Linked DNA regions of Sus scrofa. The protein of the gene in region 1 purifies or fractionates together with the protein of each later gene. This does not show direct contact. Links are inferred from orthologs where the notes say so. Each region holds a gene or a part of one and is shown in the gene's direction. Other genes may lie near its edges. The genes, in order: MED9, MED31, POLR2B, CDK19, MED8, MED16 and MED18.

Region 1 (4,064 bases):
ACTCTGCTCTGTCCCCTGTATCTATTTGATGCAGAGTAGCTGTGGTCATTCCTCTTACCGGTACAGCCTCCGTACCTCCCCAGAGGACTCCAGGCACGGAAGCCCCTTCAGTGCCTCTGGTCCTCCTTCCGGTTCTCCACCAGGACCCTGGCACTTCCTTTGGGCGGAGAGGCCCCTGGGCAGCAGTCCTCACCTCCCCCTCCATGCGCTCCCTCAGGGGTTCTCTGGGTAGTTCTTACAAGAAAGCAGTGTTGAGGCCCAAAGCACCCACTCCAAGCCTCCCCAGGACTTGCCTTCACAGACCCCTCTGGATGCATCTAGAAATATTTGCAGTGACGTTTTCCTTAGGACGGCCGCCTTGCTCTTCAATGCTGCTTCTCATCTTGGCACCTGACTGCAGTCTCCTTGTGTCTCTAAAGCTCTGAGGAAGGGCAGGGCTTCCACTCACCAGCGAAGCTCAGAACGTGTGTTCTCATCGCCCAGGAATTTATTACACAGCCAGGGAGGACTTGTCTTGAGGAGCATAACCACAAACCCACCAGAGTTCCCCTGGCTTTGGCCTGAGATCCCAGGGAGTGAGTGCCCCTGCAAACGCGAGCTTGGAGGCCGGCCACGTGTGGGAAGGTGGGAAGCAGTTTAGGCTCCTGAACTATATAAGGCTTTTGGGGTGAGGACGCTGAGCCCTGGAGGCTTAAGGAGCTGGGGCCCACAGGTGAGGAGAGTACGTGCCGCTGACTTCTCCTAGGACATGTTTATTCCTGGCACTAACCCCCTTCAGCCTCGTGTGGAAGTTGGGACAACTCCCACCCCTCCCCGCAGGCAGTACAGCAGTCATGGAGAAGATGCATATTAAGTATTGACTTAGTTCGTCGCAGCTTCTTTGTTCCTGCGTCCTTAGGGCGGGCGCAGGGCCTCTCCCCTGAAGGCCTCTGCGCGGGTGGGAACCGTGGGTCCCTCCGCCGGGATTCTCTCCACGCCCGCTGGCCCAGGGCCTGACCCCAGCAGGTGCTGGGCAGGGGCCTCCGCTCTTCAAGAGGCCTTATTTATCTCAAGTCTTCCGCACTTGTTGATTTTGGATCCTCTTTGTAACGCGAATAGGAATAAAATGTTATTTCTGACATATATCTATTTCTATTAACAATTTAGCTGCCTCAACGCACAACCCAAAGCAGGGCACCCTAGCCCGGCCGGCCGCCCGTTGCCTAGTAACGGACGCCCAGGCCCCGCCCCGCGTCCCCGGGCGCGCGCTCCCAGCCTCCCTCTGGGTCCCGCCCCGCGGCGCACGGTGGTGACGTGCAGAGTCCGCGACGCGTTCGGCGCGCTGAGCCGCGGCCCAGCCGACCCGCCGCGGAAACGCGGGGCGCCATGGCTTCAGTGGGGGTGCCCGCCGGCCGGCAGGCCGAGGATGCCCTGCCGCCGCCAACCGAGCCGCCGATGCCCGAAACGAAACCGCTGCCGACGCCGCAGCTGCCGACGCCGGTCTCCGCGCCGCAGCCGCAGCCCGCGCCGAGGCCTCCGTCCCCGGCCGTCGTGAAGGCGGAGGAGAACTGCTCCTTCCTCCCGCTGGTTCACAACGTCATCAAGTGGTAAGAGCCCGGGGTGCCCGCGAGTGCGCCCCCGCTGTCCGTCGCGGGCCGAGCTCCGGGGCGCCGCCGGTCCCGGGGAGGCGGCCTCGCGAAGACCACCGCGAGCCTCCCCCCGAGTTGAGCGGACGCTGAGCTCAGGGCTGCCAGGCCCCGTGCTGGCCGGGCGGAGTCCTCGAAACGAAGCCGACCTGGACACCACGTGCACAGGTGCAGCGTCCCTGTGGCCGGAGCCAGCCAGGCTTCTCGGGGCTGTTTTCTCACACGTAATGAAGGACAGAACGCTCGCTTCGGTGTCTTTTCCAGCAGATGTGGGTCATGTTTCGCGGGTGGCACACTGCTAAGCGCCAGGGGATGTACACTTGAAAGGGCATACGGTTCACGCCCACGTTGCTCACCAGTTAGAAGGAACAGAGTCGTGAACGGGAATAACCCATAACGCGAAGAGATTCTAGGGGTGATGATAAGGCCATGGCAGGGAATGGCCGCTAGACAGCCCGTCGCACTCACAGTTCCCAACAGGATGCCGCAGGGGTGATGTCTCCTTTAGGCCGGTCTTCAGGGGACCCGGTTTTTCAGACTGACCCTTAAAGAGGGGGGAAAACCCCACCAAAATCGCCAGGGTCCCCACATTTGCCCAAATGGTTTTTACTGTTATTTATGTCCCCATGGTAACAAGGTGTAAACCCCTCAGCTTATCACGTCTGTTTAGCCATTAAAACCCAAAACAAAGCAAATTAAAACAATGTTCCTTCTGCTCTAACACTCAGGTGGACCTCAGCATCCTCTTGGATGTTTTGCTGAAATGAAATTGCCGCTCACAACAGTGAAGTGTTGTCAGTGGCCCAGCTTGTTTTGAGTTTAGGTGGAAGAGAGTCACTGCCTGGGACGCTCTGACGCTTCCACCACTTTTCAGACAACTGCAAAGCCTTTTTTTTTCTCACATTAGAACTTGGCTTCGTTTGGTGTGAACATACTGTTTATCTGGTGAGGCCGACTCTTCTCGTGAGCCTGTGATCAGCAAGTAGCACTCGTAGGCAGCAGTGACATAGGAAACCCAACCCACCTGCACGCCCTGCAGTCCCAGGGCGGTGCTGGGTTGGAAGGGCGTTGTCCAGATGAACCCAGATTTATCTGTTCTGGTTTTTGGAAAATTAAAACACACAGTGTACACACTCTGGCATCCTGATAGGACCCTCGGGTTGGGCTGGCCTTAAAGACGGATCCTTGAGGTGCACTAGAGAGAGCATGGGCTGCGAGGTGAGATGGTCTCTCTCTCTTTTTTTTTTTTCTTTTTAGGGCCACACCCGTGGCATATGGAGGTTCCCAGGCTAGGTGTCCAATCGGAGTTACAGCCGCCGGCCTACACCACAGCCACAGCAACTCAGGATCTGCGCCGCATCTGTAACCTACACCGCAGCTCACGGCACAGATCCTTAACCCACTGAGCGAGGCCAGTGGGTTTCTCGTCGGATTCGTTTCCGCTGTGCCACGGTGGGAACTCCGAGATGAGATAGTCTTAATGCTTGCTTGCCTTGTAATCTTGGTAAATACAGAGCCTTTCTAGGCCGTAATTTTTCGTGTCGCTAAGAGGTGAATAATAGCAATGAACCTCAGAGGAGGGCTTCCGAGGTAGCTTTGTAGTGTGCTGGTGGGGCGGCCTCGGTCAAACGGCCTCTCTGAATCTTTTTCTCTCGTGAACCGGGAGCAATAACACCGAAATCGTAAGGTTGTTGTGGGGTGTTCTCAAGAACATTCTGTGAAAGACATTGTGTCCGTCCCGTGTGTGACCTGCTCTGTCCCCTCTGAGTGGACAGTGAGGAGTGTCTTTTAAGCGTAAAACTGAAAAGGACACGAGAGGGGATGATTGCCGTAGGGGGGGGCCGGGGGCTAGTCCACCTCCCAGCCCGAGGAAGCGGCCGGGAGCAGCTGCCTCTGGCCGCGGCCCCTTCCGGATCTCAGGAGGCGGCAGGGCCAAGGGCCTCCGGTGAGAGGTGATTGAGGGTGACGGGACTGAGGATGGGAGGGCTGCTTGGACGGCTGTTTAGGAGCGGATCCCCTGAGTCCTCTCGAGACCCCAGGCCCACAGGTGGTCCCCCTTCTGTCTCGGTGGATAATTAAAGGCTCACACTTTCCCAAGGTTTGTTTTTAGGAAAGAATAATGCACAGGGTCTCTGGAGGGGGGACACTTGCCCATTTCGGGAGCTGGAGGGAGAGGCCAACCTAAGAAGAGCGCTTGAGAGCAAGTCCTCAGACAGACCCGAGACCCAGCCCCGGCTTCTAGATTGACAGGCTGTCTGACCTGACACCCCAGAGACGTGGGGGCTCCCCAGGAAAGAAGCTGGTTCATCCTGAGAAGGCGGTACATCACTCACGCAGTGTCCGCTCAGCCTTTTCACTTAAAAAAAATATATGTTCCCCAGTATTTATTTATGGCCTGCTTTTTACTAATGGAGCATAAAGTAATTGTATCTTCTCTCG
Region 2 (4,178 bases), about 10 Mb from region 1:
GTGCTCAATATGCAGGCTCCCTCCCCTGCATCTCCTCAAATCACAGGTCAGGTTTGCCTTCTAGAATTATTCTTTTTTTTTTTTTTTTTTTAATTTTCCCACTGTACAGCAAGGGGGTCAGGATATCCTTACATGTATACATTGCAATTACAGTTTTTTCCCCCATAAAATTATTCTTGATTGTTGATGGTTGACCTTCATTTTCCATTTTGAACTGCACTTGACCTATGTTAAAACATGTGTGGCTGGGGGGCGGGGGGGGGTACCATGCACAAGGGCTCAGCATAAAGAAAAGAACTGCGTGCTTTGAAATATAAACATAGGCCAACTAATTAAGGAATTAACTAATTAAGGAAAGTCTGATCCCTGCCCCCCAGGTTTTCAGCGGGCACATAATCAATCCACTGGTCATGATTTCTGCTTGCTCCCTGTCCTTAAATTTGAAGCAGCAAAGGTCATTCAGGGCTTAAGGACCCCCACACTCACCTGTCTGAGAGGTTCAAAGAGCCTCTTTGTCCATCGACTCAATTCATACAGTATCCGGGGCCCGGAACTTTTTGTGCTGGTTTCAAGTTAAAACAGTTCACAGGGTCAAAGGCAGGATAGTCCAAGGTGCAGCTGGGTCAGTGAATGTTGGCTGAGTCCTGAAACCACAGCTTGGCTCTTTCTTACATTGATTTGTGGATTGTGGACTGTTTCCAGGAAACCAAAGGGAATCGGTCCACCTGGCAGCAGGCCGGCTGCGAACTGGAGGCAGATCTGCACTGGCCACGGGCCATGGCCCTGTCGTGGCCCTGGAGAAGGAAGCATCTCATGGGGCCTTTTGGACATTCTGGCGGCCTGCCGGCTGCTCCTGCCGCGGCGGGCTCTCTACGCGGTGCAGAGTCGTCTCCACCCGCAGGCACGAGGCCCTGACGCGGCGGGAGGCTGTTTCCGTGCGCTGCCAGGTTTCCACGTGCTGGGACACCTCGACGACGCGAGGGAGCCGTTTCCCAGAGGGGGAGACGGAGGGCCCCTCGCTGCAGTGCTGGGTGGTCTCCACCCGCCGGGAGGACGTCTGCACCTGGCGGGAGGATGTCTCCACGCGGTGGGACGAGGTCTCTACGCGTACCGTCGACGTCTCCTCGTAGCGGGCGGCCGCCGCCCGGGGCCGCGAGGGCTTTCCCCGAAGGGGTGAGGCCATTCCACGGGGGTAACGGACCGAGCGGGCCTCGGGAGGCCTTACCGCCTCACGCTCCCCGACGGGTTACGTCACAGGGTGACGAGTGACGTCACATGCCTGTGTGACGCAGGTACAGCGCTAGACGAGGGTGCCACGACACAGGGACTTGGGGACAAGGTTTCCTTGAGGGGTGGGGAGGGACGTGAAAACTCCTTGGCAACTCTGGGCCGGGCCCCTCAGGCGCTCGGTCAGCGGGCGCACCGCCCCCTCGTCTGTCAGGAGCTCCCGCGAGCGGAGGAGGGGCTGGGCTGGGCTGGGCCGGGGCGGGCGGGCGGATGGGCGGAGCCACCCGCCCCCGCGCGAGGCTGATCCCGCCCTCGCGTCCCACACTGCCCCGCGGCAGGAAGAGGGAGCGGCGGCTTCCGGCACGTCCCCCGCGGCTCCGGGCGTTTGCTGTGCTGGGCTGCTTGTGGGTTAGCGTCTTTGCTCGTGATGGCCGCCGCCGTCGCTATGGAGACAGGTGAGTCGCGCTCGGAGCCACGCGTCTTCGCAAGTAGAACTATCCTGGGCCCAAACCCCCGCTCCTGCTCCCCCGCGTTCTCCTTTCAGGCCTGACTTCTTTCAGGCAGAGTGAGTTCGGACCGGGAGGGCCGCGGACTTTTCTAGTGTCGGAAGGGTGAAGGTAGTTTGGCCTTTTCAGAGTTTAATTTGTTGGCCAACACTTTTTCTTTCATTGCTCTTCAGACACCGGCACCACTGGCTTCCGGCGAGAACGAGAAAGAGAATTTCAATTTTAAACCAATCTTCGGTTTGTTTTCTGCGTCTCAAACGAGCTTGCATAAGTTAAAACATCGTCGACACATTTGTGTTATTATACTACCAACGACGCTTCTCACCTAAGCACACGCTTCTTGATCTTGTGTACTCGCCGTAGCCTCTGTCAGCTTGCATTCTGAACTTTTTCTTGGTGGCTTTAGCATTCACTTTGTTTTTGTTTACTAACTTTATCACCTAGCTACTTGTAATGCATTATTAAAATTAAGGCACAGTTACCCTAATCTATCCCAGTGATCACTGTTAAATTTCTTACATGGTAGCTCACGGGTCATAAACATTCTGACCTGTGTGTTCTTGCTTTCTTTGATGACTTGTCTTTAAGTTTAGAGAAACGTCTTACTCCTTTTAATCAGGGCTTTGCTTTCCTTAGACTTCTAAGAAAGGTTTTTCTCCTCCCACGCCCAGTTTAGGAAAATATCACATGCCCTTCTTTATGAAGAAGTGTATTTCAGCATTAGGTTTATTACTGATGTTTTCTTTCTACAAATCAGTATTCAGTGACGTTTATTTTGGATGATTTTTGATATCTTCTCTCCTAGATGATGCTGGGAATCGACTTCGGTTTCAATTGGAGTTGGAATTTGTGCAGTGTTTAGCCAACCCAAATTACCTTAATTGTAAGTTGAGCAGTACCCCGTTGAATTGAGTAAATATTGATGATTTCTGACCGAAGAGTTGCAATTCATAGTACTGTTGGCCCTTGGTATCCACAGTTCAACTGCAGTTGGTTGAATCCTCAGATACAGAAGGTGACAGTACTGTCACTGTCATCGCACTATACCATTTTATATAAGGGACTTGAGCATCTGTGGATTTTGGTAATCTGTGGAGTCTCCTGGAACCAATCCCCTGCAGAGTCCCTGGGATGACTTTATCTACTTTTATACATTCTCAAGTGAATGGAATTATTGCTACACTTTTACTGCTATATATTATCATTGAGCAGACTGGGACTTGTGTTTTGAATTCAGTGTCTTTTTTTTTTTGTTTTTTGGTCTTTTTGCCATTTTCTTGGGCCGCTCACATGGCATATGGAGGTTCTCAGGCTAGGGGTCGAATCGGAGCTGTAGCCGCCTGGCCTACGCCACAGCCAATGCAACTCGGGATCCGAGCCGTGTCTGCGACCCACACCACAGGTCTCGGCAACGCCAAATCCTTAACCCACTGTGCGAGGCCAGGGATCGGACCGGAAACCTCATGGTTCTTAGTCGGATTCGTTAACCACTGAGCCATGATGGGAACTCCCTGAATTCAGTGTTTTTTAGTGGTGGGGATGTTATGTTAAGTTTACTTTATGTATGTCAGGAGTCAGAAATAAGTAGTCCAAGGATGGTTTGCTCTACAGATTTTTTTTTTTTTTGTGCCTTTCAGTTCTTGCCCAAAGAGGTTACTTCAAAGACAAAGCTTTTGTTAATTATCTTAAGTACTTGCTTTACTGGAAAGAGCCAGAATATGCCAAGTATCTAAAGTAAGTTTAATTTTCATAGTCCTAAATATATGTGTACTTTATTACAAAGACTGATATTTAATTAGATGTCTTAGTTTCACATTTGAAAAAAAATTTTTTTGCCTCTTTGTGCTCCTTTTAGTTTCCACCAGTTTAATATGAAACACTTGTTTCTAAATTAACTTGGATTATTGCAGTAATCTCACTGGTATCCCTACCCCACCCCCACCCCCACCCCCACCCCCACCCCCACCCTTCCACTTGAAATAATTTCACCTAAAAACAACTGGAAATAATAGAATTTCTGTATATTCTAACCAACAGACCTCATTCACATTTTGCCAGCTGTCTCACCAATATCCTGTGTCTGGTGTAGTATCCAGTCTAGGCTCAGATGCTGCATTTTGTTGTCATGTCTTCTTAGTCTCCATTAATATGAGTTTTAAGTCTTCTTTTTTTTTTCCCCTCCATAAGTGACACAGAAATGATGTTATATCCTTCTTGGTATGTCAGGAGTCACAGGCAGTCACTTCATTCTATGACTGGTGATATTAATTTTGATCACTTGGTTGAGGTGGTGGCTGTTATTTTTATCCATATCAAGTACTATTTTTCCTTTTGTATTTAATATGTATCTTGTGAGGAAATACTTTGAGTCTGTAGGAATTTCTTGTTTCATATTTCATTCTTTTACCCACTAACTTTAGCATTTACTGAAGATACTTACTTGCT
Region 3 (3,500 bases), on another chromosome or scaffold:
GGAGCATTGTGTATATTTTTCAGGAGTCTCCTACTTTTTCTTTACCTTCCTATTTTCTGATAACCAGAGGTCACCATGTTACCCATTTCTGACTTTCGCCTCAGTTTGGACCTATCAGGCTCCTGTCATCAGTCCTTCAAGAAGACCTATTTTCTTTGGTATTCTTTTTTTTTTTTTTTTTTTTTTAATTTATTTATTTATTTATTTTTTTGTCTTTTTTTGTTGTTGTGTTGTTGCTATTTCTTGGGCCGCTCCCACGGCATATGGAGGTTCCCAGGCTAGGGGTCGAATCGGAGCTGTAGCCACCGGCCTACGCCAGAGCCACAGCAATGCAGGATCCAAGCCGCGTCTGCAACCTACACCAGAGCTCACGGCAACGCCGGATCGTTAACCCACTGAGCAAGGACAGGGGCCGAACCCGCAACCTCATGGTTCCTAGTCGGATTCGTTAACCACTGCGCCACGACGGGAACTCCTCTTTGGTATTCTTGAAGGACTGATGATACTGTTTGGCCTTTGAGGAGACACAGCTCAATTTATGTCCTCCTATTAAGGCAATAGAGCTGTATTCCACTAGCTATGTTCTAATAGAATATTGTATATTCTATTAGAAATTCTTTAAAGGTTCAAAGCAGACGTTTGAGATTGCCGCACATGGTGTTTTTGCTCACTGTGTTTCATCTCGATTGTTTTCTAAGGACAGGAAATGGGCTGAGAAATGTGGAACATTTTCTGTATCTTGGCTTTTGGTTTTTTGCTTTGGGACAGCTTGATGTTTTTGATCAAACTTTTATGATTTACTATTGGTTTTATTTTTTATTTTTCTTGTCTTTTTGCCTTTTCACGCAGCATATGGTAATTCCCAGGCTAGGGGTCTAATTGGAGCCATAGCCACCGGCCTACGCCAGAGCCACAGCAACGTGGGATCTGAGCCGAGTCTGTGACCTGCACCACAGCTCGCAGCAATGCCATATCCTTAACCCACTGAGCAAGGCCAGGGATCCAACCTGCAACCTCATGGTTCCCAGTCGGATTTGTTAACCACTGCACCACGATGAGAACTCCAATTTACTATTGGTTTTATACTGAGTAATCCAAACCTTTTCTAGTTAAATAGACCCAATCCTTTCTTTAATAAAGGTATCCAGATGTGATTTCCCTTTTTTAAAAGTACTTTTTAGAGAAATACCAATCTGTTTTTCTATTTCTCAACTCATTGGCAGTTACTTTCTTGGTTGGCTTTTTAAGAATATATTTTAGATCTAGATAATTCACAGGAAATTATTTGTTTACTTCTTGACATATCTTATATGTATTGGCACTTCATTTTTTGTAGTGCTTTAAATAATTGATTATGTTCTTAATTGTACATTCCCCCCAGTTTTTTTTTTTTTTTTTGCTATGCCCACAGCATGCAGAAGTTCCTGGGCTAGGGATTGAACTTGCATCATAGCAGCAACCAGAGTCACATCAGTAGCAGTGCTAGAGCCCTAAACTGCTGAGCCACTAGGGAACACTATCTGAAAATTCTTTTGATACTTTCTAGCACTGTCCAGTAGAAATATAATGTGAATTAAATATGTAATTACAGTTTTTAATAGTCATATTTTAAAAGTTTAAAAAATATGAAAATAATTTAAATATACTTTATTTGACCCAGTACATCAAAAATATTACAATTTCAGAAGTTCCCGTTGTGGCTCAGTGGTTAGCAAATCCGACTAGGAACCATGAGGTTGAGGGTTCGATCCCTGGCCTAGCTCAGTGGGTTAAGGATCCAGCATTGCTGTGAGCTGTGGTGTAGGTCACAGACGCGGCTCAGATCCCATGTTGCTGTGGCTCTGGAGTAGGCCAGCAGCTAAAGCTCTGATTAGACCCCTAGCCTTGCAACCTCCATATGCCATGGGAGCAGCCCTAGAAATGGCAAAAAGACAGAAAAAAAAAAAAAAAAAGAATTACAGTTTCAGAGTTTCTTGGTGGCCTAGTGGTTAAGGATTTGGTGTTAATGCTGTGGCTTGGGTCACTGCTGTGGTTCCATTTTGATCCCTGGCTCAGGAACTTCCGCATGCCATGCATGTGGCCGAAAGAATTTTATACTTTTGGAGTTCCCGTCATGGCTTGGTGGAAACAAATCCAACTAGGAACCATGAGGTTGCAGGTTCAATCCCTGGCCTTGCTCAGTGGGTTAAGGATCTGGCCTTGCTGTGAGCTGTGGTGTAGGCTGCAGACATGGCTTGGATTCTCCATTGCTGTGGCTGTAGTGTAGGCCAGTGGCTATAGCTCTGATTCGACCCCTAACCTGGAAACCTCCATATGCTGCAGGTGTGGCTGTCAAAAGGCAAAAAAAAAAAAAAATTTTTACAATTTCAACATATGATCAGTGGAAAATTCTTTTTTTTTTTTTTTGCTTCTTAGGGCAACACCTATAGGTGATTTTGAGAAGCCAGGCTTATTACCTGGAAAGACTGATGGGGGCACAGTGATACAGGGCAGGTTATTGAAAGGCTACAAGGTGAAGTATATGTAATTATCAAAGAGGCAAGATAAGAAATTGTCCTATGCTAGTGTTTGTGATATCAGTTATATTTTCTTCACTTTTATTTTGCATGACATTATAACCAGATGTTACTCATCTCTTTGATTACCAAGGTGTTAGATATTCATCTCACATGAAATTTTAAATTATACAAAGGTTTTTAGTATCTGAACAATGATAAATCAAGATTTGTTCATTTTATATGCTAATTTATTCATCTTTTTGTATTATTAGCTAAGCCTTAATGATAAAAAGTTCATGGGTATTTTTTTCCTTTTACTTATAGGTTTCTATGATCAGAGATATTCGTGAGAGAGAGATTCGGATCTATACAGATGCAGGTCGCATTTGTAGGCCACTTCTCATTGTGGAGAAACAAAAGCTACTTTTGAAGAAGAGACATATTGATCAGTTGAAAGAGAGAGAATATAACAATTACAGGTAAGAACATTCAGTTAGAAGAAAACTTGAGATGTAATTCACATGCCATAAAATTAACCATTTTAAAGTATGTGTTTTGGTAGTTTTTAGTATATTCACAAGATGGTGCAGTTACCACTATTTAATTTCAGAATATTTTCATTCACCTAAAAGGAAACCCTGTATTCATTGGTGATCATATTGTTTTTCTTTTTCTTTTTTGTCTTTTGTCATTTTTTAGGGCCACACACACAACATATGGAGGTTCCCAGGCTGGGGGTTGAATCAGAGCTGCAGCTGCTGCCTACACCACAGCCACAGCAACGTGGGATCTGAGCCGAGTCTGTGACCTACACCACAGCTCATGGCAACGCCGGATCATCAACCCACTGAGCAAGGCCAGGGATCGAACCTGCAACCTCATGGTTCCTAGTTGGATTCGTTTCCATTGTGCCATGACGGAAACTCCTACTCTTTGTTTTTATATATTCACTCCCTTAGCCCCTGAGGTGGTTTCTTTAGAGCAGAGCAGAGCATAATAAAC
Region 4 (4,084 bases), on another chromosome or scaffold:
GAAAAGACCAATTTTAGCTGGTTATCTGCAGCACTTACCATAGTACCTGGAAATAACAGACACTCAGATACTTCACGATTTACTTCAAGATCTGAGGAAATTTTCCAGGAAACTTACTGTTGTAATAAATAAATGAACCCCCTCCCCATCCAGTTTTCCAAGTTTCTTCCAAAACCTAGCAGGCAAGTCACTCTTAACTTTCCTTACCACATTAGGTAGAATTGACTATTTCCTCCTCTTGTGCTTTCACTGAATGTGGTATGTTAAGTCCTATCATAGCACCAATGATTTTTAAGATTGTATCCCAAGCATCTGATACGTTTTAGGCACGCAATAATGAACCAACATTCACCTTAAGGAGATTTAAACATTCTAGGAAAACGTCACTGTTAGGCATAAACCTTAAGACACTCTTTACAATCCAATACAAATGATTGTTTTTAAATTGCTGCATCCTGCAGGCACTTTAATAGTCCTCAGACAGTTGGCCAAAAGCTTGGCTACGGGAATCACTTATGTTAGGAGAAGACTACGACTAGAGCGCCAAGGATGATTGGCTGCTAGGACCTTTAAGTTACAGGTTTTCAGGCCGACGCCGACGGTAGAACCAGGAAACCGCTAAAAGTTCAGTTTTTGAAATACGGTTTTTGCACCGCAAAGAAAAAAGATTAACCTATCAGAAAGAACCTAGCACATCCAATTACCAATCAAGAGCCGGAAAGAAGCCAAAGCAGGGATACCCACGCACCAACGAGGACGTCATTCTTAAGTCTCCGCCAATGAGCTGTTGGATGCGGGACGGGGCGGGAGGCGGACCAACTGCCACCAAAAACAAACAACAATCTGCAGTACAACTGCTCTCACCACAGTCCTCGTCTAGCAAACCACTGGAGGAAACTCGTGGGCAAAGCCCTTGTTAAATACTTTCCACTCTCCTCCTCTCCTGGGGGCAGTTATAATAGAGTACCTTCCTTACACCAGAAAAAGGACCTTCTTTCCACCAGCTTCCACAGACTCGCAGAAAGCACACTGCAAGTTTGCACTTTCTACCTTCACAGGAACTAGCAGTCCAAAGCTACCTGAGGGGGGAGGGGCGGCCTCAGTGCGCAAGCGTGCATGTCTTGTAGAGGCGGGGCTGTAGCGGCCCAAGGTAACCTGGGTATTGTATTTCATTCTACCGCATCACTCAACTGTTCCTGAGGTTTATGGAACTACATTTCCCAGGAGTCTCCGCGGCCTCGGGGGCGGGAGGGATGGTTCGTTAATGAGCTCGAGGAAGCCGCGGCGCGGCCCACCAGGTTCCAAAACAAGGAAATGAAGGGGGAGGCGGGACTGAGGGTGCCTGTAGGAGCCGCAGCCGCCGCCGCTGCCGCCGCCGCCGCCGCCGCCGCAGAGGAGGAGGAGGTGGAGGAGGTGGCCGCCGTGGCCGCCGAGGAGTCCCTTGCTGAAGGCGGACTGCCGGGCGGCGGGCGGCGCGCGCGCGCCCCAGAGGCGGTTGTTGGAGAAGTGGAGCGGCGGTCGCGGGGGGGAGGAGGAGGAGGAGGAGGGACTGAGTGGCGGCGGCCCCCGCGTCCCGGTGCCTCTATGGGGAAAGCAGACAATGGATTATGATTTCAAGGCGAAGCTGGCGGCGGAGCGGGAGCGGGTGGAGGATTTGTTTGAGTACGAAGGGTGCAAAGTGGGACGCGGCACCTACGGGCACGTCTACAAGGCGAGGCGAAAAGATGGGTAAGAGCAGGGGCGGGGGGAGTAGGCTCGTTCGGGTCCTCGCCCTGCCCGCGACCGCGCGGGATGGGTGGGTCGGAGCCCGGACGGGCCAAGCCCGGGGGGCGAGGCGGACGTGGTCCCGGGGCCGCGTCCCGAGGCGGACTCTGAGGGACACGGGTTCTGCCCGCTCGCGCGGGCCCCGTCGCGCCCCTCAAACTCCTGCGGCGCAGCCCCGTCGCGGGGTGTCGGTTTCGTCCCGGAGGGCACCCTCCGCGTGCATGGAACTGGCGGCGGGACTCGAGTTGGGACCTCGGTTGGATGTGGAGTTTGTGGGGCTTTGGTCTCCGGGGGAGACGCAGAGGTCTGGGAGAGCCTTGCGGAGGAGTTGCCGCTCTGGCCCTCGGTTGGTGACGGTCGTGGTGGAACTTCCAATCGGCTGAGCGCCTCCCGGGGGCGGAGGTTTGAAACCTCGCCGAGGTCTCCGTCGGGCTGCCGAGTGCCTGGGTCCTCGCCAGCCTCACGGGTCTGAGCCGTTGGGCACCTTTTCCCTGGGGGCGAGCCAGCGCTCTGGCCCCTCCGCGCAGTCCCTTCAGTCCCTGTGGAAAACCCGGCCACTTCTCCACCTCGCTTCGCCCACCTCCGATCTTGCTTTCTCACATTCTCCATTCCGCACCTTCCCTTGAATGTAGACCTTCTGAGAGACCAACCAGGTTTTGCCCGCAGAACTTAAGAGTTCGGTGTGGTAACCCATCCCATCCTCCAGCAGCCTCCCCTTGGGTATTCTTAGGTTCTCCACTCCATCCTCTGCCAAGTGGCTGCGTGCTGCGGTTTATTGGGCACCTAGATTACCCATAACGGAATTCAAGTGGCACGGAGTTGGGCCAGAACCCTTGTTTTCCTTGGACTTGAAAGAAAATCATAGGAAGCCCGTCCTGATTGTTCTCTTAGGAGGGCACAGGGCTCTCCAGTACAGGTGGAACCAGCTCCCTGCCTGAGAAGGGTAGGTTTAAACAAGTCATCACCGCAGGGCCCATCCTGGCAGAAATTCCACTTCCCCAGAGTTAGGGAGCCGGGGAACATCTGCCTGTCCCACTTAGTGTTTGAAGACGATCAAAGTGTGGAAGAGAGGTTTTAGGATCATAGCGAAAAATTGCTGAATGAACAGAGTATCCGTCACCGTGACGTTAGTTAAGATCTGAAGTGCTGCTTATCGTTCTTCCACACTCTGTTGTAATTGATAAGGTTGATTGATGAACTCTAGGACCAAAGTAGGTAGGGGATGTGTACGTGTGTGCACTAATTTTATACAGGGAACGAGAAAGCACAACTTTATAAACTGGTTTATCATAAAGTATGGTGAAAACTGCAAAGTACTTAACATTGTAAAGGGTTGTTATTATTGCATATAATTTTTTCCTCTTGTTATAACTGAACGGGTCCCCTAGAATTCAGTTGTTTGTAAACCTTTCTCATGATTCTTTTAGTTAATTGCCATATGTCCCTGCTTGAGTATCTTGGAATGTGAAGTACTATAATTAAGTTGTATTTTGTTTTTGGAATATCCACTCTCCTTGTTATACTGGTGTCTCTCTGGGAATCTTATCAGATACATTTGGGGAAAGCACATCTAGCTTTACTATTTGGACGTTGACACTGTAAAACAAATCAGAAGTGTTCTTCATCCTCCTCACACTAACTTTGTAATGTACTTGGCCTGGAATTTTAAAAAAATGTACTTTAATTTTGTTGTTAAAATAGCTTTTTTTTAAGGCAGCTTTTGAGAAAAGTTAAAAATTCTACTTATGAATTGTATTTGAATAGCATGAGCTACAACAAAAATCAGATAATTTAAATCCTGCTTCTCTTTGTTCTTTTTGAATATTTTCCCCTCTAATAAAATTCTTGATTTGAATACACTTTTTTTCCTTGAGTGAAATTTGTTTGATTAGAATTAATAAAGCCCTAGTAAAGATCAGTTTGGATATCTTCAAAATATTATGCTTTAAAAAGACTTTTTCAAATCTGAAAGCATTACTTTTTTTTGGCTGTGCTCCTGGCATGTGGAAATTCCTGGGTCAGGGATGGAACCTGTGCCACAGTTTCAACCTGCACCACAGCTGGATCTGGTAACACGGAATCCTTAACCCACTGTGCCACAAGGGACCTTCCTGAAAGCATTACTTTAAATCACTAAATTATGTGTGAGAAAAATCAGTGTAAAGATTTTTGTCTTGAACCAAGAGTTTAGTTGAGATTTGAGGCTTTAAACACCCACATGTCTTGTGGGTGGGTAGCAGGATTAGTTTTATGTTCATTGATACCATTGATTTGAAAGAACAGAAATCTTTTAGTGATGGCTCTAAATTGTGATACACAT
Region 5 (4,170 bases), on another chromosome or scaffold:
CATTGATTCTTTTAAATAGGGTAGTTTCCTACAACCACGTTTAATCCTGGGTCTTGTTACATCACATGCCAAGGATCAGGAGATTTACCATCCTGTGGCAACTGTACTGCTTATACTGGAAACATTATGACCACCATACTACAGCAGACCACCTGTTTGGGAGTCTTAGCTCCGCTACTTAACTAGCTGTGTAACTTTGTTACCCTTAACATTTTGTGCCTCCGTCTCCTCAACTGAAAAATGGGGATAAATAATCACGTCTGCTTCTTCGGGTTGAGGGTATCAACTGATGGGGTAAAGCAGGACGACGCGGCACGCATTCGATATGTTATGACAACTCTTTTGTGTCATTTCATTTCACACGTCTCTCACCCTTCCCGTCTATCATATTCTAATACTGGGCACCTTTCCTGGTGATGTTCTTTTCAAACCAGATCTTCTAACTTCAAAACTTTGCTACTCCCTGGCTGAGGGTAGCACTTGGGTAAGGTACTTAACGTCTCTCACTTTCCAGTGTCTTACATATAAATGAAAGTGGACACAGCCACCTTCCTTGCACAAGTCTGAATAACACAATGCAGATCAAGTTCCTTGCATGGTCCTCAACAACTAAGGGATACCTCATGTGCATTTTCTGGTTTAAAATATGGGATCCTCACAAAACACCCTAAGACAGGTGTTTAAGAAGCAGGAAACAGTCAAGCCTTGCCCGAAGTTGCAGAGATGGCTACAGGGCAGCACCAAACGAAGTGAACGACGTTTCACTCCGAATCAAAAAAGAATCTATATATGTATTTTCCCCACGAAACCGAAGCTGCCTTTCAAAATCATGGCGCTGGAACTAAATTAATTCATGCTGATTATGTCATTCTAATACGTGAAGATATGAAGCACCAGCAAAGTAAAATCAAATTGCAAAATCAAAATAAAGGCTTTGTTAATACCATTAGGAAGTCGGAGAACCCGAGGGCCCCAGAGTTGGCGACGTGAATGAAATCTGAGCAAACAGAACAGAGCGACGAGCTTCTCCTCCAGCCCCCCAAGGAAAGTGCGGACCGCGGGGTGAGGAGATGCAACTGCCGGGCCTTCGGGGCGACCCCCGCCGCCCCCAGACCCGGAGGAGGCCACGGCCGCACCCGGCCGCCGGCCCCTCCCCCGCGGATCTCGGGGACCAGCGCTGCGCCCGCCCGCCCCTCACCTCCGGCTCCGGGCGCTCCGAGGCCATCACACAGCCCTCCCGCGCCGGCCCGGGCCAGAGAAGCCCTTCTGCTCGTGACCCCTGACCCGGCTGCCTCTCGCCCGAAGGAACCGGAAACGAATGGGAGGATCGAATCCCAACTTTCTGATTGGCTGACTTGGAAACCGGAAAAGGAAGTGGTTGACGCAACCTCTGCTCCCGCGATGCAGGTGAGGACCGGGTTGGCGCTCGTGACCGCTACTCAGCGTCGGGGTACCGGGACGGAGAGTGGGCTGGAGAAAGTGAGGAGCTGGAGCTGAGAGGAGTGGGTAGAGTCATCGGCCGACGGCTAAAGGGACGCGGGATGGAGGCGAGGCCCACTGGAGAGGGAGCGGCACTGATGACAGATGGGGGTGGAGCCCGGCTGGGAGACCGAGACGGCCCCTGAGTTGGGAGGGGGAAGGCGGCACCGACTTGCTGGGGGTGGGAAAGGGTCGGTCGTTTGGGAAGGTTAAGATGCAGTCCAACGAAGACAGCTCAAGAAGGTGCCGCATTGGCTCAGGTCCCGGCCCGGGCTGTTGAATGGCCGCTGTTGGCTGCCGACACAGCAGAGGATCGATAACTGGAGAGAAGCCCGAGAGTGGAAGGAATTGTGGGGCCGCAGTGACAAAAGCCAAACTAATATAGTCTGAGGCCAGTGGCTGGAACCCGGAATCAAGGCTACTGTCTTGTATATTGGCGAGTTCGCAAGGCAGTTCTACCTCCTTCCTAGCCTGTGCCCTGTGGTAGTTAAGGATGAAATGAAGTAAAGATGAAGAACCAAGATGGACAGGAAATGCTTGGCAGACAACCCCTCACCAGCATTTAAAATAGTTTAGTACTTAGGGGCATGTGCATTTTTGTTTTTGTTTTTCATTTGTCAGTTTCTTGCACCTGGTAGTCTGTCAGTAAATTTTTATAGCTTGACTAAGCTTGTGAAAGGGGCACAGGAATTTTGGCACAGAGATAAAATGAGTGCAGGTTAATGGAGTTCCTGTCGTGGCTCAGTGGTTAACGAATCCAACTAGGAACCATGAGATTGCGAGTTCGATTCCTGGCCTCGCTCAGTGGGTTAAGGATCCGGCGTTGCCATGAGCTGTGGTGTAGGTTGCAGATGAGTCTCGGATCTGGCGTTGCTGTGGCTCTGGCGCAGGCCAGTGGCTACAGCTCCTATTAGACCCCTAGCCTGGGAACCTCCATATGCCACAGGAGCAGCCCTAGAAAAGGCAAAAAGACCAAAAAAAAAAAAAAAAAAAAAAAAGAGTGCCGGTTAATTCAGCAAAGAGCTTGAAACAGCAAATGCTGAGGACAGAGGAAAGGGGGAAATGGCCGTGGTGGTGGCAGTGGCAGGTGTTCAAAGGAACCTTCACATGTAGGTAGATTTTTCAGAAATTGTGTCATTGGCAGGAACAGCCAGGCTCCCAAGGCAGGTTTAGGACAGCAGAAGTCAGAGTACCTATGCTGCAGAGTGGCACAAGAGATAATGACCCCGAGGCATTAGGTCTGCTGTGTCTGCTCAGTGAGTGAGAGTATAGTGTATGTGATAGGAAACCAAGCACGGATTAGGGGTGATGAGAGAAAGGAACCAGCAGGTAGGAGGAATTAGGCCAGGCGAGTGGGTTGAAAGGTCTGAGGGTTGGTGCTGTCTATAACCCTGATACCAAAGATAGAAAACAGCCTGGCTCTCCCTGTGCCAGTGAGATCCTGTGTCACATGACTGGTGTTGCGCACTGTCATCCTGGCTTTTCAGCCCGCCTCTGTGGGCACCACCCTCACCCTCATCTGAGTAACATCCTATTCCTGTTGGTGCAGAGGGAGGAGAAGCAGCTTGAGGCATCATTAGATGCACTCCTGAGTCAAGTGGCTGATCTGAAGAACTCACTGGGGAGTTTCATTTACAAGTTGGAGAACGAGTATGACCGGCTGACCTGGTAAGCAATGCCAGGGCAAGCTGGGGAGGGCTCCATGGGTGGGGGGGGCCAGGTCACCAGGTGGATAGGACATTGCCAGTGATGTAAACATTTATCAGTTTGCAAACATCTTTTGATTTAAAAAGAGCTGAGTTTCCCAACGTGTAACACTGAAGTTGGCTTTGGGCCTCCCTGGTAAGGAAGCAGAGAAATGCCCAGTTTTCCAACTCAGGGTCTTTCTAGCTTTTGATTCTCACCCTCTGATGTCTCTGGGAGGAGGTCCTCCCACTTCAGTATTCATATGGGATCTCTTGCCTTGGACGTGGCTGAGTCTTTTAGGTCCAGTCTACTTTGAAAATGTAGATCCTATATTTAGGTCGGAAAGGAGGCTTTTAGCTAGTTTCTGAAGTTTGAGTGATAACAGTGGAGCTATGGTTCCTGTTTTGCCGCTGTTCTCACCCCAGTCAAATACAGCAGCCCCCCTTTATTGGTGGGGGATAAGTTTTAAGACCCCCACTGGGTGCCTCAAACTGATAGTATCAAACCCTGTACTGCATATACTACTAACTGGATGGGTATTGTACCAGCAAAGATAGGCTGGGCAAAGCAATGATTAACATCCCAGCTGGGACAGAGCAGGATGAAGCCAGAATCCATCACACTACTCAGAACAGTGCCCAATTTAAAATTATAAATGGAGTTCCCGTCGTGGCGCAGTGGATAACGAATCCGACTAGGAACCATGAGGTTGTGGGTTCGGTCCCTGCCCTTGCTCCGTGGGTTAACGATCCGGCGTTGCCGTGAGCTGTGGTGTAGGTTGCAGACGCGGCTCAGATCCCGAGTTGCTGTGGCTCTGGTGATGGCCGGTGGCTACAGCTCCGATTGGACCCCTAGCCTGGGAAGCTCCATATGCCGCGGGAGCGGCCCAAAGAAATAGCAAAAAGACAAAAATAAAATAAAATAAAATTATAAACTGTTTACCTCTGGAATTTGCCATATGGTATTTTTGGACTGTGGTTGACCACAGGTAGATGGAACCTCAGC
Region 6 (3,975 bases), on another chromosome or scaffold:
AATCCTGCAGGTGACATTTGTCTCTTTCCCCCTGTGTATTTATTTATTTAACTGTTTATATCAGTACAGACGCCTGGACATTCGCTTTCTTGTTTGGGTTACAACACAATATCCTTTCATTTTGTTGCTCAGATTGTTCCAGGTTTGGATACTGGGAGCTCTTTCAGTGATTCCTGTCTCACTGAGGCGGGGTATTTATTTATTTGAGCACCGGGCTCCTCTGCATATTTGTGCTGCCTTCTAGAACCAGGCATTTCGCCCAGGAGCCCAGTTCCTTTCACTGGGGCAACGTTTAGAAACCAAGAACTGGGTGCTAAGTGTGCTGAGTTCCATTTTAACAGGCATTTTAAAAAGTTTTAAACACAGATGCTAAATAATGGAAATCCAAATGGCTCAGAGGACATCAGGAGATACTGGATTAACCAGCTTGGAGGCTCCCACCTGTGAAGGGGACCGAATTTCTGGTGCCTGGAGGCCAGTCTGGACTTCAGGGCGCGGGTGTGGTGGCTCTAGGGGACTCCACAGGCCTCCTGCACTGACACACAGACTCGGTCCTGCGGCTGCCCCTAGCTGGCTGTTTTCTTCCCACTCCGATTCCCTGAGCCCGGCCCCCATACCTTTGCCCAGGCGCTAACTGCAGCCCAGTACACCTTCCCCGAAATATCAGGAGGTCTTCCTAGAAAAGACTTTCCCAACTGGGGAGAGCCCGACAGAAAAAGAACCAGCTTTTGATAGCGGGAGACGAGTGAATCCAGAGAAGCCCACGACTGGTTAAGCCGTCTTGCTTACGGGGAAAAGAAGCAAGGAAAAGCAAAATATGGAACGCTTCACGAATTTGCGTGTCATCCTTGCGCAGGGGCCATGCTAATCTTCTCTGTATCGTTCCAATTTTAGTATATGTGCTGCCGAAGCGAGCACGACACCGGGGTTAACCCGACCGCTATTTATAGGGCGGAGTATAAAATACTTTACGCTAAGGGTGAATTCCGTTTAGAAGAAAAATACTCAGTAACTTGTCTCTTCTTTTCTGATATCAGTGCAACAATAGCTTAACAGAATGAGGCTACTCACTGAAGTTGAGAAAGTGTTCTTTCACGAAATATAATTCGGGTGGCTGTTGGGAAACTATCAATGTATGTATGCAAATTATATCGGTAGTGGGGCGGGGCCGGAGCCGCTGCTGTCCCAGAAGTCTCCGGGAAACGGCCGCGCTACGTGGGCGACTCGTTGATCCGGGGAAGATGGCGGTGCCGTAGCCGCGCCGATAGGTGGAGTGCAGGCCGTGGCCGTCCGCTCGGCTGGGAGAACAGGCCGTCCCGGTGAGCGGGGACTGGGGACTTGGGCGTTGGGCCGGCCTCAGGACGGTGCCTACGGCCGCGGCGGCGACTAGCGGGCCGGGGGCGGGGCCTGTAGGGTTAGAGGGCGGGCCTGGAGAGCAAGGGGTGCTGGGTACGCGCCCGGGAGCACGTTGGGCGGGGGGGGGGGGTCGCGACGGAAACTTGGGGGAAAGTCTGAGGCGTCTGGGAATCCGGGCACTCCGAGCTGGGGAAAATCGGGGCTGGGCCTGGAACCTGATCAGGGGTTGGGAGGTCTAAGGCTGTATTTTCCTGGGGAGGGGCCTGGGGATTCTGGTGGGCTGGAAGGCGGCCACTGGAGACCAGCACCTGGCTATTGGGTAGTGGTCCCTGGGGTGGAGCCTGAAGTGGCAAAAAGAGGCGGGACTTGGAGGGTTGGGAATTTGGAGGTGGTTATAGGGAGGCGAGTTGTTTGGGAGACCCTGGGGAGAGAACAAATTTAAGCTATCCCTGGGAACACAAGGGGCAAATTGGGACTGGGGTCTGGAAAGCAAATATTGTAGGGGGCGGGGCTGGAGAGCTTTGAGGGCAGAGCTTAAAGACTGCTGAAGGGGCCTCTGGGCAGGGCCTTGGGGTTCCTGGCCAAGGCTTGAGGAAGCGGGAGGCCTGGGGGAAGTGATTGAGAAAGATGGGTTGGTCATACAGTCTCATTGGGTTCTGGTAACGGTGAAAATAACCGTAATCAATGCCCGGCACATAGACAGCAGGTGGAAATGTTCATTGTTTCCGTTGCGGTTGTTACCTTTGAAGTGCTGCACCAAGCTGCTGCCTGCCCCCCATCCTGCCTCCTTGCCTCTGCCAAAGGCTTCTCTAAGGATAGAGCAGTCCCACCTCTCCTCACTGCTTCATGGTCCCCATCATTGTTCACCTGGACTGGCATGGTCACCCCCACCCTGTCCCTAAGCCTTTCTCTCCAGACAGCCAGAGGGGTGTGTGAAACATAAGAAGGTCTCAGCTCCCCTGGGGCTCCCACCTCACTCAGGGTGAAAGCGCAGGCCCTGCATGACCCACCCCACCCTCACTTTACCCCTCCCTTCCTCTCACTCAGTTCCAGCAACATGGGCCCCCTGCCGCTCCTTGATGACCCTGGGCTTGGTCCAGCTTCTGGGCCTTTGCACTGGCTGTTCCCCCTGCCTGGGATATCCTTCCTCCAGGCTGCATTCCTGGATCCCTCACTTCTACGCTGGGAGGCCTCCCTGGCCATCCATGTGTCAGATATAGCTCCCCTGACATACACAGAGCAGGGATTGAGTCTTTGGGTCCCTGCAGTGACCCACCATCCAGCACTGCGCTCTGGGCCCTGAGGCCCTGCATGAACGTCTGTGACAAACTGGTCCTCCCTCCCTCAGAAGCTGGTGACCGCCCTCTGTGTATGACCTTGGCAGCCGGGCACCATGGACCTGGCGTACGTCTGTGAGTGGGAGAAATGGCCCAAGAGCACGCACTGCCCTTCGGTGCCCCTGGCCTGTGCCTGGTCCTGCCGCAACCTCATCGCCTTTACCACGGATCTCCGAAACGACGACCAGGGTGCGCCCCCTCCTGCCCCCCGCATGGGCTCGTGCCCCAGTGCCCATGGACCTCCAGGCCTGTCCAGTCTCTCAGGGTTCCCTCATGTGTGATGAGGGGTGGTGAGGGCCCAGAGGGCACCTGGCACCAGGGGGCACTGGAATCACCCCCAGGGGATGGACCTGTCCAGATGAGGGTGGTCCCCAGCCCCTGCTGAGGCTCCTGCCTGAGTTTTCCAGACCTTATATGTCACTGCTTGGCTTCTGAAAGCCTCTGAGCTGCAGCCTGCCTGCTGGGCCTGTGTTCTCGCTATTGTTGAATGACACATGCTCCTAGAGGAAAGGAGAAAAACACAGACATTTTGGATGAGGGGAAGAAAAAAAGGCATTACCTTCCCCAGAGAGCCACTCTCTGTTAGCATTTTGGGTTTGTTTTTTTCCAGTTCCATTTTCTATGTCTCTTTTGAAAGTGGTTGTAGCCTCTCTGGAGGCAGAGTCATGGACCTGCTCCCATTACCCCTGGGGTCATCAGGCACTCGAGGCCCTGCCATTGTTGCCGCTGACCTGGCCCTCCTTTGCAGACCTGACCCGCATGATCCACATCCTGGATACGGAGCACCCCTGGGACGTGCACTCCATCAACTCGGAGCACAGCGAGGCCATCACCTGCCTCGAGTGGGACCAGTCAGGTGAGGGTGGGGCTCACCCTTGATCTCAAATCCCAAGCTTACTTGTTCTGTCTTTTCCTGGTCATGTCCCCACTGTCCAGAACTAGGATGAAAGCCCTGGCCTTGTGGCTTTTCGGCTCCTTCTCCTCCCATTTTTGGTGACCAGAGTCGTTCCTGGGAGACATGTGTGCCATGCCCCTGCTTGTCTCCCATCCCAGGCCCCAGATGTACTGGGGGGGGTGCTTTGTGACACAGGCTTGCCCCCCTCTTCCCCTGCAGGCTCCCGGCTGCTGTCGGCCGATGCTGATGGGCAGATCAAGTGCTGGACCATGGCAGACCACCTGGCCAACAGCTGGGAGAGCCCAGTGGGCAGCCTGGTGGAGGGGGACCCCATCGTGGCCTTGTCCTGGCTGCACAATGGTGTGAAGCTGGCCCTGCACGTGGAAA
Region 7 (4,293 bases), on another chromosome or scaffold:
ACCTGCAACCTCATGGTTCCTAGTCGGATTCGTTCCTGCTGCTCCATAGTGGGAACTCTGAGGCCTCACATTCTTATAACATTTTCTCCATCCCTATAAATCATGAGTCTTGTCCAAGTTTTACCATATTGTTCACCCAATTCTTACCTATTCTTTTTTTTTTAATTTAATCCTACTTTTGAAATGTCAGATAAAATGTGGGTAATATTTTTTTTAAGTTTAAAAATGTAAATGAGTAAGACAGTATAAATTACAGCAGGGGAAACTGGAATTATAAATGACTGTATAGGAGTTCCCATCATGGCTCAGCAGAAATGAATCTAACTAGTACCCATGAGGATGCAGGTTCCATCCCCAGCCCCAGTCAGTGAGTTAAGGATCCAACATTGCCATGAACTGTGGTGTAGTTGCAGACTTGGCTTCGATCTGGCACAGCTGTGGCTGTAGCGTAGGCCAGGGGCTACAGCTCCGATTCAACCCTGGCCTGGGAACTTCTATATGCCTTGCTCGGTGAGTTGGGGGTCCAGGATTGCCATGAGCTGTGGTGTAGGTCACAGATGCGGCTCAGATCGCACATTGCTGTGGCTGTGGCATAGGTCAGCACCTGAAGCTCTGATTCAACCCCTAACCTGGGAACTTTCATATGCCAGGGTGCAGCCCTAAAAAGAAAAAAAAAAAAAAGATGTGTAGCAATTAAGAGGGTGGGTTCTGAAATCAGGCAGCTGCTTAAATTTGTACCCCAGTCTAAACTCCCTGGTGTGTTATTTCTTGATGCCTAAGTTTCTCCATTAGTAAAATTAAGTAATAATTATACTTGGGTTACAGGGCTGCTGTGAAGATCAAAAATTCCAATATTTTGTTCATTAAGGATTTTTTTTCCACATTAAATTCGTAAAAGATTGCATTACAATTTTTTGAATTGTTAGGAGTTTTGGTGCCCCTTAAATTTTTCGCTCCAGGGAGTGCCTCAACCACCATACTCTAGCTCCATTCTTTGCATTTTACATGCTTGACACACAAGCAACATTCAATAAATGAGCTGAATTTACTTATCTCCCAAAATTTTTGAATTGAGGTAAAATAAACACAGAAGAGTGAACAAATATCAAATGTATTGCTGAGTTCCCTAATTGTTCAGAACAGTCTGCTAAACAGTAAAAGATGTCTTTCCTTCTTATCTTCAGGTACTCAACCAAAAGAAGTTTTGGTTTTATGATCTCTTTTTTTCTTCAGCTCTCTTCCCCCGGCTCTCTTTTCCCCCTGTAAGTTCCAAAAGAATTCCTTGACAAAAACAACTCCAGGCCGTCACACTTGAAAAAAGGAAAATATTTTCCGGGAGGACTGCCTTTGATGTCAAGGTCCCCCTCACGCCCCGAGGAACGCGCTCAGGAAGGCCGCCCTCTTCCACGCAGAATCGCAGTTTGCGCATGCGCTTCTACTTGCCAGGCCGCAGAGATGATTTTTATGCCTTCCCGGCACCCTTACGTCGCAGAATGGTGATGTCAAGATTTGCGCGACGGAGACTTTTTGCCGGAAGTGGAGGGGAGAAAGTGTTGCACTCCACCGGGGGGTGGGGGTCTTCAAGTTCAGTGCTGGGGGCTAATTATCGCTAAAAAGCTCCGAGGTGCTCTGGTGGCTTCAGTTCCCTGCTTTGCCAGAAAAGGCTAGAACACGCGCGGAGGTGTGTTTTTGGTGTGAGTAGGCACGCGTCGATGGTGGGGTAGGAGGACCTCAATCGTCAGAAGAACTTCGCACTTCTGTCTGGCTCGCTTTCAAAGGCGTTTTGAACGCCTAGATTTTTGTCTGGTTTATCTCTGCCATGGACTTGCTCTGTATCCTTCCCTCCAACCCCCACCCAAAGTGTCAGTATCCTCATCTCCAAATTGAAGGGGAGTCACCTCTCAGTTCTATTATTTCACGGCTATTGTGTCATCTGAGCCACAAAGCCTTGGGGGTTAAATGTCGACCTCATTTTATAAGGAAGACATTGAATCCCAGGGTCAGCGGTTTGATGGCTTATTGCACAGGAAATTCTGAAACTGAAGGTTTCAGACCTTGAGACTGAAAGATTATAACTCCATGATCAGGCCTCCTTTGTGTATTTCTGTATCATCAATTCCTGAAACTGACTTATGGAAGTTGTTCAAAAAGTTCTGGATGAATGAATGAATCTTTTGATGTTAAGGCTAATGACCCAGGTAGATCTGGTGTCTCTCCATCTCTCTGATGTATTAACAAGCATAACTCTTTTCCAGGTGTGTCCTGTGCTTTATTTGACTGGGACTCTGAATCCGGTTCTGTTGCTTTCAACTTAAACAGATAGCATGGAGGCACCTCCAGTCACTATGATGCCTGTCACCGGGGGCACCATTAACATGATGGAGTACCTGCTGCAGGGTAAGTGAACTAGGGAGCTTAGATTACCTGATTTCCTCTTTTCTGTTCAGGTTCCATGGAGATGAAAGGCTAATATACAAAGGCTACATAATTTCTGGCACCTCTTTTTTTTTTTTTTTTCAATTTGGCTTTAATTATGGTCACAAACATATAGCATTAAACATTTTGAGCATAACATTTAGTAGTGTTAAATATGTTTGCATTGTTGTATAGCCAATCTCTAGAACTTTTTCATCTTGCAAAACTGAAACTCTGTACTCATTCTTCCTTTCCCCTCCCCCCAGCCCTTGGCAACAACTTTTCTACTTTCTTTTTTTTTTTTTCTTTTTTTATTTTCTTTTCTGCTGAACCTACGGCATATAGAAGTTCCCAGGCCAGGGATCGAACCCACACCACAGGAGCAGCTCTGGCAGCTACAATGACAACACAGGATGAGTAACCCACTGCACCACAGGAGAATTCCAAACCTTTCTACTTTCTGTTTCTAATTTTGACTACGTTAGATAACTTTATATGAGTGGAATCATATGGTATCTGTCTTTTTATGACTGGTTTATTTCACTTAGTATAATGTCCTCAGCGTTTACCCGTGTTATCACACGAGACAGGATCTCCTTTCTAAAGGCTGAATAATGTTCTATAGTATGTATATACCACATTTTCTTTATCTGTTCTTCTGTTGTTGGACATTCAGGTTGCTTCCACCTCTTGGTTAACATGGATAATGCAGTGAACATGTGTATGCAAATATCTCTTCCAAGATCCTGCTTTGAATTCTTTTGGTTAAATATCCAGAAGTGAAATTAATGGATCATATGATAATTTTATGATACTATTATTAATTCTTGTAGATCAGGAAATAGAATTGAAGTAACTTGCCCAGATGAGAAAGCTCAAAACTCAGTGTAATGATTTTCAGGAGGCCTTATAATGTTTCGCAAAAAAGTTTAGACTTTGAATTATCCATTTAAGAACTTAATATGGAAGTTCCCGTCATGGTGCAGTGGTTAATGAATCCGACTAGGAACCATGAGGTTGCAGGTTCGATCCCTGGCCTTGCTCAGCGGGTTAAGGATCTGGCGTCACCATGAGCTGTGGTGTAGGTTGCAGACACGGCTTGGATCCCACCGTTGCTGTGGCTCTGGCGTAGGCCGGCGGCTACAGCTCCTAGATTAGACCCCTAGCCTGGGAACTTCCATATGCTGGGGAGAGGCCCTAGAAAAGACAAAAAAAAAAAAAAAACTTAATATGAACGAAGTAGGGTTATTAACTTTCATTCTTCCAGCTGTCCCTCCTTCAGTCTTTTCCATCTTAGTAAGTGCCTGTCATTCACCAGTTGCTCAAGCTATGAATTCAGGAATCAATCTCCATTTTTTCACTTTATTCTCACCTATAGCTTATCTCTAGTTCTGTTTATTTTACTTCCAAAATATATATTAAATATGTCTTTTCTCCACATGCAATGGCTTGGTTTATCATCCTTTGAACTATTTTAGTAATTTTGTGCTTATTGCATTGCTTCCACTTTTGATCATCTGTCTCTTCTCACACAATAGTTCAACATCTTTTTTTGGGGGGAGGCAGTTTTTTAGGATCCTTAACCCACTGAGCGAGGCCAGGGATCGAACCCGCAACCTCATGCTTCCTAGTCAGATTCGTTAACCACTGCGCCACAACGGGAACTCCAGTTCAACATCTTTTTTAAAAAATGTTTTATTATTAAAAAATTCAGGGAGTTCCCGTCGTGGCGCAGTGGTTAACGAATCCGACTAGGAACCATGAGGTTGCGGGTTCGGTCCCTGCCCTTGCTCAGTGGGTTAACGATCCGCGTTGCCGTGAGCTGTGGTGTAGGTTGCAGACGCGGCTCGGATCCCGCGTTGCTGTGGCTCTGGCATA

What was found.
Region 2: the proteins of MED9 (region 1) and MED31 purify together in Homo sapiens (affinity purification with mass spectrometry; 4 studies listed by BioGRID and IntAct, with this or other methods). This does not show direct contact. The link is inferred for Sus scrofa from reciprocal best matches to the Homo sapiens genes MED9 and MED31.
Region 3: the proteins of MED9 (region 1) and POLR2B purify together in Homo sapiens (affinity purification with mass spectrometry; 4 studies listed by BioGRID and IntAct, with this or other methods). This does not show direct contact. The link is inferred for Sus scrofa from reciprocal best matches to the Homo sapiens genes MED9 and POLR2B.
Region 4: the proteins of MED9 (region 1) and CDK19 purify together in Homo sapiens (affinity purification with mass spectrometry; 7 studies listed by BioGRID and IntAct, counting the BioPlex papers as one, with this or other methods). This does not show direct contact. The link is inferred for Sus scrofa from reciprocal best matches to the Homo sapiens genes MED9 and CDK19.
Region 5: the proteins of MED9 (region 1) and MED8 purify together in Homo sapiens (affinity purification with mass spectrometry; 5 studies listed by BioGRID and IntAct, with this or other methods). This does not show direct contact. The link is inferred for Sus scrofa from reciprocal best matches to the Homo sapiens genes MED9 and MED8.
Region 6: the proteins of MED9 (region 1) and MED16 purify together in Homo sapiens (affinity purification with mass spectrometry; 5 studies listed by BioGRID and IntAct, with this or other methods). This does not show direct contact. The link is inferred for Sus scrofa from reciprocal best matches to the Homo sapiens genes MED9 and MED16.
Region 7: the proteins of MED9 (region 1) and MED18 purify together in Homo sapiens (affinity purification with mass spectrometry; 6 studies listed by BioGRID and IntAct, counting the BioPlex papers as one, with this or other methods). This does not show direct contact. The link is inferred for Sus scrofa from reciprocal best matches to the Homo sapiens genes MED9 and MED18.

What each region holds. Positions count from the first base shown.
Region 1 is NC_010454.4:60,931,200-60,935,263, reverse strand, and holds the start of MED9 (mediator of RNA polymerase II transcription subunit 9), read left to right. Parts: upstream 1-1,264; 5' UTR 1,265-1,365; coding exon 1,366-1,586; intron 1,587-4,064.
Region 2 is NC_010454.4:50,727,303-50,731,480, forward strand, and holds the start of MED31 (mediator of RNA polymerase II transcription subunit 31), read left to right. Parts: upstream 1-1,378; 5' UTR 1,379-1,654; coding exon 1,655-1,682; intron 1,683-1,906; exon of another isoform or gene 1,907-1,970; intron 1,971-2,538; coding exon 2,539-2,616; intron 2,617-3,370; coding exon 3,371-3,467; intron 3,468-4,178. Other genes in the region: C12H17orf100 (uncharacterized protein C17orf100 homolog), read right to left, coding at 812-1,183. UniProt on the Homo sapiens protein: Component of the Mediator complex, a coactivator involved in the regulated transcription of nearly all RNA polymerase II-dependent genes.
Region 3 is NC_010450.4:56,260,230-56,263,729, forward strand, and holds part of POLR2B (DNA-directed RNA polymerase II subunit RPB2), read left to right. Parts: intron 1-2,822; coding exon 2,823-2,977; intron 2,978-3,500. UniProt on the Homo sapiens protein: Catalytic core component of RNA polymerase II (Pol II), a DNA-dependent RNA polymerase which synthesizes mRNA precursors and many functional non-coding RNAs using the four ribonucleoside triphosphates as substrates.
Region 4 is NC_010443.5:76,790,677-76,794,760, reverse strand, and holds the start of CDK19 (cyclin-dependent kinase 19), read left to right. Parts: upstream 1-1,284; 5' UTR 1,285-1,600; coding exon 1,601-1,728; intron 1,729-4,084.
Region 5 is NC_010448.4:167,859,993-167,864,162, forward strand, and holds the start of MED8 (mediator of RNA polymerase II transcription subunit 8), read left to right. Parts: upstream 1-1,370; 5' UTR 1,371-1,401; coding exon 1,402-1,479; exon of another isoform or gene 1,480-1,541; coding exon of another isoform or gene 1,542-1,547; intron 1,548-3,028; coding exon 3,029-3,147; intron 3,148-4,170. Other genes in the region: protein SZT2, read right to left, coding at 1,199-1,225. UniProt on the Homo sapiens protein: Component of the Mediator complex, a coactivator involved in the regulated transcription of nearly all RNA polymerase II-dependent genes.
Region 6 is NC_010444.4:77,489,778-77,493,752, forward strand, and holds the start of MED16 (mediator of RNA polymerase II transcription subunit 16), read left to right. Parts: upstream 1-1,175; 5' UTR 1,176-1,319; intron 1,320-2,704; 5' UTR 2,705-2,749; coding exon 2,750-2,882; intron 2,883-3,441; coding exon 3,442-3,549; intron 3,550-3,807; coding exon 3,808-3,975. UniProt on the Homo sapiens protein: Component of the Mediator complex, a coactivator involved in the regulated transcription of nearly all RNA polymerase II-dependent genes.
Region 7 is NC_010448.4:85,382,592-85,386,884, forward strand, and holds the start of MED18 (mediator of RNA polymerase II transcription subunit 18), read left to right. Parts: upstream 1-1,493; 5' UTR 1,494-1,694; intron 1,695-2,255; 5' UTR 2,256-2,324; coding exon 2,325-2,397; intron 2,398-4,293. UniProt on the Homo sapiens protein: Component of the Mediator complex, a coactivator involved in the regulated transcription of nearly all RNA polymerase II-dependent genes.